Lytechinus pictus: one gene and its partner. The protein of the gene in region 2 binds, or shares a complex with, the protein of the main gene of each other region. Links are inferred from orthologs where the notes say so. Each region holds a gene or a part of one and is shown on either strand. Other genes may lie near its edges.

The links. Proteins that work in one complex are often made in the same cells at the same time.
Region 1: negative elongation factor B-like (region 2) and negative elongation factor E-like share a complex: the UniProt entries of both Drosophila melanogaster proteins name them as parts of the NELF complex. The link is inferred for Lytechinus pictus from reciprocal best matches to the Drosophila melanogaster genes NELF-B and Nelf-E.

Annotation. Positions count from the first base shown.
Region 1 is NC_087259.1:10,932,738-10,940,752, reverse strand, and holds the start of negative elongation factor E-like, read right to left. Parts: upstream 3,021-8,015; 5' UTR 2,941-3,020; coding exon 2,791-2,940; intron 1-2,790. UniProt on the Drosophila melanogaster protein: Essential component of the NELF complex, a complex that negatively regulates the elongation of transcription by RNA polymerase II by RNA polymerase II. The NELF complex, which acts via an association with the DSIF complex, causes transcriptional pausing.
Region 2 is NC_087259.1:18,429,820-18,436,904, reverse strand, and holds the start of negative elongation factor B-like, read right to left. Parts: upstream 3,005-7,085; 5' UTR 2,937-3,004; intron 1-2,936. UniProt on the Drosophila melanogaster protein: Essential component of the NELF complex, a complex that negatively regulates the elongation of transcription by RNA polymerase II.

The DNA of each region.
Region 1 (8,015 bases), about 7.5 Mb from region 2:
TACTAATTCGATCACGTGCCATCGGCTTTAGGGCCGAGTGTTCTTGTTCACATTCCAACTATCATTTCATAAATAGGCACTCTTACAAATTAGGCCGATGCCGTTGTAAAGATAACTATTTTTGAAGCGTTATTCAGATATAAAATATATAAAGACAATTGAAATTGAACAATTCATCGAAATTTCCAACGATATTCAAATAAAAATAGTATCAACTCGTGTAGAGATAGGGGTGAACAGACGAAATACATGCTCCTAAACGTTCAGACAAATCAATTAACATGATATCTATATCTTTCGATGAATTGTTCAATTCCATCAGAAATATGCTTCATGAAGTCTTGTCAGATTGTTGAATGTGAACTTCTATTGGAATCTGTTGAATCACGTACCCCTCCCGATCCAAGGTATAGATTTCCCAATCACCATAGATAACATACGGTTACATATATGGTATCTTATTTACATTGTTAGGTACTGACGATATCTTCATAAATACATTCACAATTATTTCATGAAATGTCACCATTGCCGTGGCTGTGACATGTTAAAGCCTGAAAGCTATTACATAAAATATTGTTTGCACTTTGATATAATAGAGGTCAGATATATTCTTGTCATCTAATATAAACATTCCATTATTATGCACCATGTTTCAAAATGGGTAAGAAAATTACATTACCATCGGCATCCAGATAATTAGTCCATGATTAGACCAGGGAGATCGGAGTCTACCCCTTTTTTGGAATTTCTATTTTCTCAGCACATCGGAGTGAGGAAAAACCACCAAAAACCCTATATTGGTATTAAATGATAACCATTTATTGTAAACAACGTTTAGGACTGAGGGAATTGGGGGAGATGGTATGGGGAGGGAGAGTATTTCATTTTCCAATAAAATGCAAAAGTATAATATTTTCGTGAACATGAACGAAATAAACAAAAAGTTAATAGCTCAATATCTTTATTGAATTGTTCAGTAGAACAATAATACTAGCTGTAATAATGTTAAAACATTTCAGTCATTGTAATTACATGTGTTTCTTCAATCTCAATATATTGACAATGAAAATAATTTTTTAATATAGAAAATATATTTTATATGACTATTGTGAATTTTAAATAATCCCATTTTAGATCGTTGATTAAACCACCTTTCTGAAAACAATCACTTTGATATATCATGTAAAATCAATTTTAGACAAAAAAATATTTTCTGTTAAAATTGATTTCTAAGATTCCTGTCTGAAAGTTGATGAAACACCTTAGCTCGAGTAGAAATGCATAATACAAAGATATTGAATACTCAAACTCTTATAATGATATTGTCCAGCAAAACAGAAAATTGTCAAATAGTTAATGAAAAATAATTGAATTATAAACCAACAATTAAGTCAAATAGAATATGAAAATTATAACACACAATCACGTCACATTCGTTCTCACTCTCGTAGTTGTACGATGGGGAGGGGGGGGGGGGGTCGGGCGTCCGGACACTATATTTTTGAAGCCTTCTTTTTGTCTTTGCATTACACTAAAAGTATGAATTCAATGGTTGTAATCATCTTGTTCTCCATAATATTTCCTAATATCTTGTACTAAAAATTGATGAAACTTCGCTTGTAAATTTTTCCAAATGACTTTCTAAAATTGATCGTCCGGACACACAACCTGTCCATACAACTGGGTAGACTCATGCTAGTCTAGAAGCACTCCCACACTCCAGACAAAGTGTCACAAGTACATGAATTCTCGTAAGCACACAGAAAATACAACTTATAATATGCTCTAATAAAATGTAGTAATGTACTGCCTTTCAGGGTTCAAACATCCTACAAATACACTCTTTTATAACATCAAATGATTCTATTAAAAAACAAAGTTAATTAATGAAGTCTGCGCCGAGCATCTAATCATAAGGCAGGCTACCAGGAAATTCATCTATCGCGGGGGCAACGCAGAATTCAGTACAGACAAGTATACATGTACATTATAAATACGCTGTGCACTGTACTCTATGCAAATACAATTTATGCAAGCGACCTTCGGCCTTGCGTAACCCGATGAAAACCACATGTTTTGCTTAGACTTCGGACACTGCCTGCCGAAGTGCCGATATCATCCGAACATGCGCCCGAAATCTACACGCTGGCATCTTTACCCGACAGAGTGTTGTGCTCCGTGAGTCAGCCGATCGCGCGGTGTAAAGATTCTCACACACAGCGCTGGGCGAGGAAGGGAAGAGGGTCGCGCGATCAGCCAATCAGCGTGCAGGGAATCCGTCTACTGTGTGCCTATGGGGAAAGTTCTTCGTGTAATGCAGACTACATAGGCCTAACTAAGAAGGTAAGATGAAAACACCATGCCATTTCAAATTGAAATAAAGCCCACTGGCACTGGCTGCATTGGCATTTCAAATTCCAAATTGTTCCATTAAATTAATTTCAAATGGAACAATTTGAATTTTGATTAGAATTTAGATTTTAACGTTAGAATCTTAGATTTCGTATAAAATTATTTCGTGAAATCGCATGGAAGCGTTTTATCTGGACCCCAGGTATCTCCAAAGGCAAAGAAGTGGAAGGATCAGCTCATAGTGAAAGTTTCATGCGTCGTGCCTTGATTTTCCCGTGCACGGCCCGGCGGCGCGGCATAATGAACCCTTATTGCCTATTCATTAGCCTATTGGCTTGACTGAGTTCAGTCATCAGTGCGACTTAAATTTGTATAGGCCTAGAATTTACAAACACAAATTCATATGTATGGGACAGTATGATGAGTTGCGATTACCTTCTTCCTTAGTTTTGCGAACTTTTTCTGGAGCATTTCCTCTTCTTCTGTAAGTTTATTAGAGTAACCCATAGTAAAATAGAGTACGCATATAATATGAAGATGGAAAATCCTGAAAAATCCTGTAATAAATTGGTGATTTACAACCATTCGCCGGAGATGAAGGTCTATGATGACGATACAGCTGAAGTTACCGACTACTTGCACGGCGTACTAACTTGTCCTTGTATATTTTCTTCCTCCGGTCTTCGGAGATCGGCGGCAAGCCGCAAAGTTCGACTATTTACACTTTGTCGTACCGTCAAAGATTCTACAAACAAGGGGTAGTATCTTTGGACCCGTGTATGCAAAACTATATTTCCCGTCCACATAGTTCTTTTATTTCTTTTATTGTGAGACCTAGACTTTTTACATGGTAGTTTTAAAAAAAATAACAAGATAAAACAAACTTTCAACACAACAAACATAGAATTAAGGGGTTACATATAGGATTGAAGGATTCAGGTTTTAAAAAAACTCACACAAAACTGATGACATTTTGAAAGAAAGAGGAAAGCTTATAAAGAATAATGCCGGGAATAAAGCTAATAAGCTATTGCCAGAACAAATTATAGGATATGATACGTGTAAAGAACTTAAATAAGATTACAAAACTAAGTCTACAGAAAAAGAACAAAGGAAATATACAAATAAGCAATATGAGAGAAATAATAAAGATATAGATATTAATATTTTGAAAGACATATTAAGACAGCGGCAATCGAAAAAGAACAAGAAAATGATAGGCCTATAAAGATTTTTACAAAGGGAAAAGTGTTGAGATTGCAAAGTAAAACAAGAGACACTGGCGTACCTAGGATTTTCCAGAAGGGGGGAAAAATTTTTGGAGGATATTTCGTCCGCGAAAAATTTAGACAAGCCCCGGCCCCCCCCCCCCCCACCAAAAAAAAAGGTCTTCAACCACAAATAAAGGTTAAAAAAAAATTGACAAGCAAAAAAAAAGGAGAAAAAAAAGGTCTTCAACCACAAAAAAAATTGCACAAGCAAATTTAAAAATAAATAAATAAAAAGGTCTTCACGTTCTCGTCAGGGGGGGCTGGGGGGCAGGGTTACGTCCCCTGCATGAGTTGTGACTCGTCAGGGGGGCAGTCTTCCCCCTGCCCCCCTTAGGTACGCTAGTGACAAGAGATCTATAGAGAGAAGGGTGTGTACAAACAACACAATGAAATGAGTAAAATACCAATCCAAAATTAAAACAGGGAAAATTGACGTCAAAACAAAGGGTAACTCATTGTATAGGCCCTACATGATAATTTATTTTGCACTTATGATATTTCAAATAGTTTCAGCGTTATGTGATTTAAATTTCACTGGCAGAACTTCAAATACGTTCCACACTATAGACCACACCATAGGAATTATATCAGGTAATTGGATTAGCAATTACATGTACATTTCTTTTTCTTTTTTCGGATGCGGATCCAGCCAGACGTTTTTTTTTTCTTTTTTCTTTTTAATGCCAGCAGTACAGTTTGACCGCAACTGAGTCAGCAATTATATAGGCCAACTTTTTTTTCCACATCCAAAATCTTTGACACGAAAAAAAAAAAAATAGGCCCAATAAAGGCCGGGGGGCAGTCAAATGTATTGCTGTACACATGCGTGACCAAATTATTGTGCAAAATAACCCCCTAAACAAGTTTTTTTTCGCGGGCTTCATTTACACATTTTGGCTCCTGGATCTAAACAAGTTGTCGCCAGAATATATGACCCCTAAACAAGTTTTGTTTACTTGCTAACAATTAAGTTTATAGAAAAACCTTATTCATGGGTATTGCTTACCCCCAGTGCAGTTAGAGAATAGGCCTAAACTAATTAACACTCTAAATAAGTGTCATCCAAAATTCACCAGGTAATAATAAAAAAACCCGGGGAAATGCTAAGGGGAAAAAACATAACTTATACGTTTGGCTAGTCTTAAAAAAAAAAAAACTTTGGAAAAAAAATATACTCTATATACGTTTGACCCCGCGACTGACCATTGACCACTAGTCTTTCAAAACCACAATTTTTTTAAATCTGTGTTTTTGATACCTTTTAATAACGAGCTAGTGCACGCGTGGCCCTCGTCCAAAGCTGACAATGACGATGACATTTATTCCCATGTCACCCATAGAGTATGGAAGTACCACTTGCATTAAATCCTTTGGCAGTGAGGGTGAAAATTACGTCCCCAATTCTGAGTTTTATTGTTGTTGTAGATAGTGGTGATATTTTTCTCTCTTTTTTGGGGGAGGGTGTATAGTGATCGGGACCACCCCCCCCCCCCTTATTTGCATGTATACTCTTTTTAAGGCAATCAGGAGATTGGGAGCCGGGACGGGAACCCCTTTTTGTTGTTTTTAAAACAATTTATTCTCAGAACACTTTTCTGCCCCCTGATTCCGGCACTTGTGGAAATCTGGATCCGATAGCCCTTATTATCATTAGAAAAAAGCCATTTGCTAACTACCATTACTATTGCCATAAGAAAAAAGCCATTTGCTAAACCATTACTATTGCCATTAGAAAAGAGCCGTTTGCTAAACCATTGCCATTAGCATTTTGCTATAAAGGACAATGAATTGCATGGACTAAGCTGACCATTTTTGAGGTGTTTAATTATAATATTGTTTTAGTTAGTTGCCCAAATATGGAGAAGTGTGTGCGCAGCGCTTTGTAACTGAAAGGAAAAGGCGACATATCAAATGACCTTTGGATTGGATTAGAAACTGTTGACTGTTGGACCAAAGATCAAATAACCACTTGGAAGGTCGCAAAGGAAATGACAAATTTGGCCTTCAAGTTGTCTGTGATCGTGACCAGAATGAGGAATTTTAGAGACAATTTTATGTATATATTGACCACATCCTTAGATCCGGCCAAATTTATTGTTTATTGTTATTTTTGGTCATATTACCGACTTTGTTAATCATGACGGTCTTTCTCTTTTTAATTGTTTCAATAATGCATTCAACATGTTTAATGCTGCGTTTGCCTTTCGCGGACTTGAACTTATTCATTGATGGTTGGTATGCTATGGATCATAAGTACCCTTTTTTATATTGTAATAATTGTATTTAAAAAGTTTATGCCATTGGACCAATGGATCTCCGAATCCTGAATAACACTACCTACTTGTGTATATCTGAGAGAGATAGAGAGAGGGGGAGGGGAGGGGGGGGGGTGTGGAGGTAGTGGCAGGTGCGCGCTTTACTTTTGCTCTAGTCATATCTCAAACTTGTGAAGATAAATTACATAAAATCTCTAGATATATTGCAATTAAACGGACTTTTTATGAACACAGAAAGGGATGTATGCATATATACAGACCAGGGTATATTGATGGAGGGAGGGGGGGGGGAGAGGCATAAAGATGTCGTCATATTTTTTTCTCAATTGAATTATTGAGATATTTTCAGCTTTTTACAGAGTTACACAACACAGACCTCTCGTTAGTCATCTTCCTTTTATCTTTATTTCACTTTATTATTGGTTTTTATCTTATTCCTCTTTTGCCCCCATTTTCCTCCTTCTCCCCCCCCCCTCCCCGTGGTGCCACCGTCTCTGTTTATAATTCAAATATTGATTGATTGATTGATTGTTTCGCATTTGTTGAATTTATTATTTTTTCACTTCAATTTCAACAAACATTTATAATGCAAAACAACAAATAATCTAGAACAAAAAAGAACCAACTGGAAATCAAAGCTTGGGCGCGAAGGCAGACCTTTCCATGTAAATTACTTGAAAAATGTTGAAGAAAGTGGGAAGAAAACAAAACAAAAACGGAAAAACATAACATAGGGTATGATGAAATAGGATTAAAAAATAATGAAAGAATCAGGACAATGATGGGAACAAAGTAAAAAAATCGTTATATTCAATGGATTTGCATTGGCACTGCATGGCCTTGATCATTATTGACGTCAGTCGCTGTGGTCAATCTTTTGTATGTCAATGACAAAGATTTAAAGCTTCATTGTTCAAAAATCTGTTCAGCAGCCTTGAATCGTTCAATATAACGAGAAATAGTTAAATTCCGTTTTCATTGTCGCCGTCATAAAATATATTATTTAATCAGAGCCTATATATAACTGTATTATGCAAACCATTATACTGACATTCTTTTCTGGAGGAGCCACGATGGCATCTAATGTCATTTCCAAGCGCGCTGAAAGGTCGTATTATTTTCAATTAAAGGACACCATGATTAAAGTAATGGAAGATGAGTACAACGAAGATACAAACAAGAAGGTAGGAAAATTATTTCACGCAGCAAAAACTTGGTTTACACAGTAAAAGCGTTGTTTAATATTTATACAACGCTGTTTACTATATGAACTTTCAAACAGCTGTATAACAGTTTAAAACAAGAATGTTTAATCTAGTGAAGATTAAATATTGAAAATGTTAGTTGTTTAAGATTTTAAGCACTTGTTTACACAACTACTGTAAAGGCCAGGGGCGGATCCAGGATTTTCCAAAGGGCGGGAGGGGCACATTTTGCCGAGGAAAAATTTGACAAGGAAAAAAAAGTTTTTAAGAAAAAGTTAAGGACATTTCGTCCACAAAGAAGTTTAACAAGCAAAAAAAAAGTCTTCACTTTCAAGGGGGGGGGGAGGCAGTTGTAAAGTCCATAGATTAAACGGATTTGTAACATTGTAAACAATGTTTTTTTTTCTGTTTAGATTTATAAAGTATAAAGGACCACACCGGTCATTTTTACTCCGGAGTTTGTTTCCAACGTCATCTTTTGTAAATATTTTTTTTAAGAATTCAAGTGTTCTTCCATACCAGCATACCATGGCTTGTTTTTCTGACTTTGTGATCCATGCATAATCAGGGTATAACAGTTAACTCACTCGGTTGATGGGCTGATCATGTGTTGTTTAAAGTTTGAATAAATGTTTATACAGCAATGCTTTATACATTTCTAAGGTCTTTGCTTAAAATTTGGAAATTGCCTATAAATTTTGTAAAATATTCATGCCGAAAACCAGGGTGTATATTAAGTTTTGTTTATTTTTTTCACTTTATACACGTCTAAGCAATATGCATGCATAATATAGGTCCAGACTAATATTATGTTTGGGCTTACATTGACCGTGCGAGAAGCCTGTTCTATTTTGAGATTGAAAATAGTATTTTCAACCAAAAAACACAACACACACACATAAATCAAT
Region 2 (7,085 bases):
TGCCATCCCTCACCTCCTCGTCCCTCTCATCATCAAGGCCCATCCCTCATCATCGCCATCCCTCACATCCTCGTCCGTTTCATCATCCTCATCTCCATCTCTTTCATTACCTTCATCCCTCTCATCACCCCCCCCCCCTCTCATTAAGAGTCATCAAAAATTATCATCCCTCTCATCATCACCATCTCTCACCTCCTCGTCCCTCTTATCATCAAGGCCCACCCCTCATCATCGCCATCCCTCACATCCTCGCCCCTCTCACCATCTCCAAAACTCGGCTCTCTACACCAGGGAAACTCAATATAAAAAATAAAAATGAAATTGGCATGCCCACACAGATACACCTAGAACATTTTCACATTTCGGGGGCAGGAGTGAAGAGGCTCCGAGCCCCCATCCACGTATAAGTATTTTTTGAGCGACTCAAACATCCACACCACAGTCGCACTCAAAGTCAAAGAAATTGAAGCATATTGATTATTGCAACTTAAAACTCGGCTCTCTACACCAGGGAAACTCAATATAAAAATAATAAAAAAAGAAAAAAAAAAGGCCTAAAAATAATCAATTTGAAGTTAAAAATTAAGCCCCCAAATAAACATTTATTATTGATGGCTACCCTCAGCCCGGCATGCCAACACATCTACACTGCGAATATTTTTTCACATTTCGGGGGCAGGAGTGAAATCGCCCCGAGCCCCCACCAACGTAAAAGTATATTTTGTGCGACTCAAACATCCACACCACAGTCACACTCAAAGTCAAAGAAATTGAAGCATATTGATTATTACAACTTAAAACTCAGCTCTCTACACCAGGGACACTCAATATAAAAAAATAAAATGAAATGAAAAAAAAAATAGGCCTAAAAATAATCAATTTGAAGTTAAAAATTAAGCCCCCAAATAAACATTTATTATTGATGGCTACCCTCATCCCGGCATGCCCACACAGCTACACCCCGAATATTTATTTTTTCACATTTCGGGGGCAGGAGTGAAATCGCCCCGAGCCCCCACCCTCGTAAAAGTATATTTTGTGCGACTCAAACATCCACACCACAGTCACACTCAAAGTCAAAGAAATTGAAGCATATTGATTATTACAACTTAAAACTCAGCTCTCTACACCAGGGACACTCAATATAAAAAAATAAAATGAAATGAAAAAAAAAATAGGCCTAAAAATAATCAATTTGAAGTTAAAAATTAAGCCCCCAAATAAACATTTATTATTGATGGCTACCCTCAGCACGGCATGCCCACACATCTACACTGCGAATATTTTTTTCACATTTCGGGGGCAGGAGTGAAATCGCCCCGAGCCCCCACCCTCGTAAAAGTATTTTTTGTGCGACTCAAACATCCACACCACAGTCACACTCAGTCAAAGAAATTGAAGTATATTAAATTATTATCTTAAAGCTCTACACCAGGGAAAATAAAAAAATATATAAATATTTACAAAAAAAGGCAGAGCCTATACGACACTGCCAAACTTCAAGCTCTAGTTCACTCTCTCACTCAGTCAAGCTCAGCTCTTTGACTGTGCACGCCCACTTCCATTGAGGATTCGGGCTGAATCCCACCCCGCCAGTTTAGGCGGCCGAGCTACGTAGAATTGCGATGAAGAGCAGCGGACCGTTCATCGGTTGTTCGCTTCTTGCGACCAGAGAGAAAAGGTGAAAAACTTTAACAAAATCGTGCAAATGCACCAAATTTTATTCTTGTGATGAGAAAATGGAGTTAATGGAATACAAGAAAGTCCATCTTCTGCGATAAAAGTGGTAACTTGAGGAGAAATGATCACAAAATCAAGTCAGTTGTTGAGTGGGGCCGAGCCGAGCACCGACACGGTTAATACACGCGCGCCTATGGGAATCGCGAGCTGTCGAAAAACGCCTAAAATTACACCTTTTTTTTTATTTCAGCGAAAAAAAGTAATAGAAAGTGAAGAACATTACCATCAGACCATATCTCTAGAAAATCTTTACAAGAAATTACGAAATGACGGAAAAATAGACGCAGATTTGTGAGAAAAAAAATCTCGTAATGGGTGGGACAACTCGGCCCGCGGTCCGAGATGTCCCGTGGTCCGAGTTGACCCGATATATTTTTGTTCAAATATTAAAATTGGCATAGTCTATATCGTTTGAAAACAAAGTAAGTAGCTTTAGGTCCCCCCATCATACATGTAAGTTAGGCGCAGGCAGAAAAAAGCCACTGGCACTGCGCAGACTTTTCCTTCAGTTCGGGCACCTTATTACCTAGACAGCTGGCAGCCGTCTGTTTCGAGGAGTTTTTTAACTTTTTTTTTTTTAAATTTCTCCTCGTAGTCGTACACAGACGGCTCGCTAGCGTGCAGCCACCATTAGGGGACTTGCAATGCAAAATCCCCCCGTCGGGGCTCTTCAATTTTTGTATTTAATGAATAAAAATTTTGCAAATTAACGCGACCAAAATGCAAATTAATATTCCCTCTTGGCATTAATTGCCAAAAAACTGAGAAAAATCAAGTTAAAAGGAACAAAAACAGTGACTTACCTCGGCTGTCGCGCAAATTCACTTCCCCGTTTTATCCGATCTTAAGTACATAAACATATGGCCATTGAGTCCCCTGTACAGATCGCGCTAGAACTTCGGTCTCTGTATTTGGTGAGTGAAGCCAACGGAGTTCAGCTGAACAACCAACATAACAGAGACCGAAGCTTTTGGTCTACTTATTACCATACATGTATTTGAACGACTGGGACCAAGATGAAGAACCTACTTGACATTAACGTGCAACATCTGCTACAAAGATTGAATGATATTTATTCTTCAAATATCCAAAACGCTTTGAAATTAACAAAAAATAAAGATCTTTATTGACGGAATCAATACAATAGAATGATACAGAATGAAATGTGGTATTAACGAAATTAAAACTAAACGAACCTGACGTAATTTAGAGAGCGTGTACTATTTCCGAAGATGGCCGCCATGGGCCAATTTTTCATATGCGCATGCGCCATAGACCCATATCTTTCAAGCGCGCGAGAATAAAAATGTCTAAAAATCCCGGGGGGGGGGGGGCTGGGGGAAGTCAAATGTATTGCTGCACACATGCGTGACCAAATTATTTCCAAACACCCCCCTAAAAAAACGAGTTTTTTTCTGTGTGCAAAATGACCCCGTAATAGTCCAGGATAGGCCCCATAGAAAATTGTCCAAACCTTGTTTTTTCATACATACAATATTTTTTCATGGTTTCTTGTCAATTCGAGGGTGCTGATTACGAATCTGAATGATGCCACTCGTGTAACCTTGAGCATTTTCCGCAAATTGGCAAAATAATATGGCCGCCAAAATGTGCAAATTACCCATGAAAATCATAAAATTGCCAGTAGATTGGCTATAAAATGTATGTAATTGTGTTGCAGGAGTGAAATACTCTCTGAAAAAACGATTTTTGAAAAAAATATGTATTTTCTTGATATTTAAAATGGCCGCCATAGACCGCTGTATTCAACTTTATGTACAATATGAATGGGGAAAATAATTTTCACAAAAGTGAGCACTAAATGCAAGTAGTTGTGATTTTTTGTGAAGTAATGGATGAAAACATGATTGCTAACGAAATATATCATTTGTTATGTCATATGTGTAATAAATGAAACATTTTAGTATTCAAAAAGCCACCAAACGCCCTGACAGTATTATGTATAATGTTAATGGGGACAAAAGAAAATCACAAGAGTGAGTACTAAAATGCATATAATTAAGATAAGTGAGTGGCATATTGGCTAAAAATTCAATTTTAACGGAATATAATATTTGAGATGCAATTTATGTGATAAATGCTGTATTTTGAAATTCAAAATGGCCGCCATATGCCCATTATACATTATGTACAATGCGAATGGAGAAACTCATTTTCACGAGAATAAGTACATAAAATGCATGTAATTGTGATATACGAGTAAAATATTGTCTGAAAACACGTTTTCTAGCTAAACATATCATTTCTCTAGTCATGCATGAGATAAATGCTGTATTGTTAAATTCAAAATGGCCCCTATAGGCCCTAACAGTATTATCTACAATGTAAATGGGGACATATAATTTTGTAAGAATTTGGATTTGCTTGACTATGAAATCCATATAATCCTTTTGTATGAGTAAAATATTATTTGAAAGCATGATTTTTATGAAATATAGCATTTCTTCTGCCATGTAAGTGATATATACTGTATTTTGACATTCAAAATAGCCGCTACAAGCCTTAAAGGAGAATGAAACCCTTGAAACCAGCTGAATCCATATCAAAGAGAAAAATCAAAGGAACACATTGTTCAAAGTTTGAGGAAGATTGAATGAATAATAAGAAAGTTATGAGCATTTGAATATTGAGATCACTAGTGCCATGTAGATCCTCCCATCGGCAATGCGACCAAGATCTGTGATATCACACACGTACAACTCCCTCATTACTTTAGTACTTATTTCACTTATATTCTCACTTTTATAGAGTCTATCACAAGGTGAGGTGTTCTCTTTATGAGATGACAAGTACAGAGGTTTCACAACATTATATCATTGATGAATCGTTTGTCATATGATTAGAATGAGCAAAAAGAAATATTTGGGGTATATTTTCAGTGTCCAAATGGGAGAGTTGTACGTGTGTGACATCACAGATCTTGGTCGCATTGCCAATGGGAGGATCTCCATAGCATTAGTGATCTCGACATTCAAATGCTCATAACTCTTTTATTGCTAGTCCTATTTTACTCAAACTTTTGTTGATCTTATTTTTTTATTTTTCTGCTTTCACAAAAGCTAACTTGCTCCAAGAGTTTCATTCTCCTTTAACTAAATTATGCTACATGCGTTTAGGGAAACTTATTTTCAGTGGTAATCATAAAATATGCATGTTGCTGTGATGTACGAGTAAAAATATTGTCTTAAATATGATTTCTAACTAAATACATCCCATGTTGCTCATGGAGGTAATAAATGCTGTACTTTGAAATTCAAAATGGCTGTCATAGGCCCTAAAAGTGTTATGTACATTGTAATTTGGTACATATAATTTCGACAGAATTTGGCTTTGCTTGACTATAAGAATTGCATATAATTGTGATGTTAGAGTGAAATATTGTCTAAAACCATGGTTACTAACGAGATATATCATATCTGGTGTAATTAAGGTGGCAAATGCTGCATTCTGAAATCGTAAATGGCCGCCATAGGCCCTTACTGTATAATGTACAATTTGAATGAGGACAGAGAATTTTCACACAAGGGCATATTGCGGCCATTTTCAATTTTGAAATATAACATTAATCACATAAATTTTATATAATATGATATATTTCGTGAGTAATCATGTTTTTAGACAATATTTCACTCATACACCACCTTTTAGTCAAGCAAAGCGAAAATCTGTTAAAATCATTTGTCCCCATTCACATTGTACATAATAATGTTAGGGCCTGTAGCGGCCATTTTGACTTTCAAAATCCAGTATTTTCACCTACCTGGCAGGAGAACTGATATATTTTGTTAGAAATTGTACTTTCAGACAATATTTTACTCATAGATCAGAATTACGTGCATTTATGGTGCTCACTCCTGTGAAAATTGATTTCCTAGTTCGCATTGTACATAATACAATATATGTTTATGGCGGCCATTTTGAAAGTCAAAATAAAGTATCATAACACAAACTTAAAACCTGAATGATATATTTCGTTAAAAATTATGTTTTTTTAGACAGTATCCCAATTATTTATCACAAATAAATGCATTTCAGTGCTCACTCGTGTGATTTCATTGGTCCTCTTTCCCATTGTACATAATACTTTAAGGGCCTTTGGCGGCCATTTTGAATATCAAAATACAACATTTATCACATACATGGCATATTAAATAATATATTTTGTGAACAATTATGTTTTTAGTCAGCATTCCACTCGTTTACTTTAATAATATGCATTTTAGTGCTAACTCTTGTGATTTGTTTTTGCCCCCTTTGCTGTAGTACATAATACTTTTTGGGCCAGTGGCGGCTATTTTGAATATAAAATACAACAATTTTCCCATACATGACATGATAAATGATATATCTTGTTAACATTGATGATTTACATACATTACTTCGTCCATATATCACAATTACTTGCAGTTTAGGGAATATTTTTGTGAAAAATATTTTTCCCTATTCACATTGTACATAATAGGGTATATGGCGGCCATTTTTAATATGAAGAAAATAAATATTTTTTTCAAAAATCGTTTTTTCAGAGATTATGTCACTCCTGCAACACAATTAAATACATTTTGTAGCCAGTCTGCTGGCAATTTTATGATTTTCATGGGTAATTTGCATATTTTGGCGGCCATATTGGATTTTGCCAATTTGCGGAAAATGCTCAAGGTTACACAAGTGGCATCATTCAGATTCGTAATCAGCACCCTCGAATTGACAAGAAACCATGAAAAAATATTGTATATATGAAAAAACAAGGTTATGCCTCTTCTATCCTGGACTATAAACAAGTTTTTCGCGGGCTTCGCTCATTTACACATTTTGGCTCCTTATATAAGTTGTCGCCAGAATATGACCCGAATGCGGGGCCCGAATGAAAAGCTTCAAACATACCCTAAAATAAATATATACGTTTGACCCCGCGATTGACCATTGACCAGTCTTTCAAAACCACCTTTTTTAAATCGGGAGCTAATTTTTTTAATCATTGTTTTATGCATGTTGTCGATCCTAAAATTAGAACATTCGATGGGTATATGTTTGCAAGGACCTAGCTGGCCACGGAGGATTATCTATTGTTACTGGGGGTGCTGCGACAATGCTCAGCCTGAGCACCCCCAGTAACAATAGAATAATCCTCCGTGGACAGGTCCATGTATGTTTGTGATCCTGAACAATTAACAACCAAATAATTACTGCGAGCGCGAGCAGAAATTTTTAATATACGTTTTGATCTGATCGAAAAGGACGTGTTAAAGGAGAATGAAACCCTTGAAACCAGCTGAATCCATATCAAAGAGAAAAATCAAAGAAACATATCGTTGAAAGTTTGA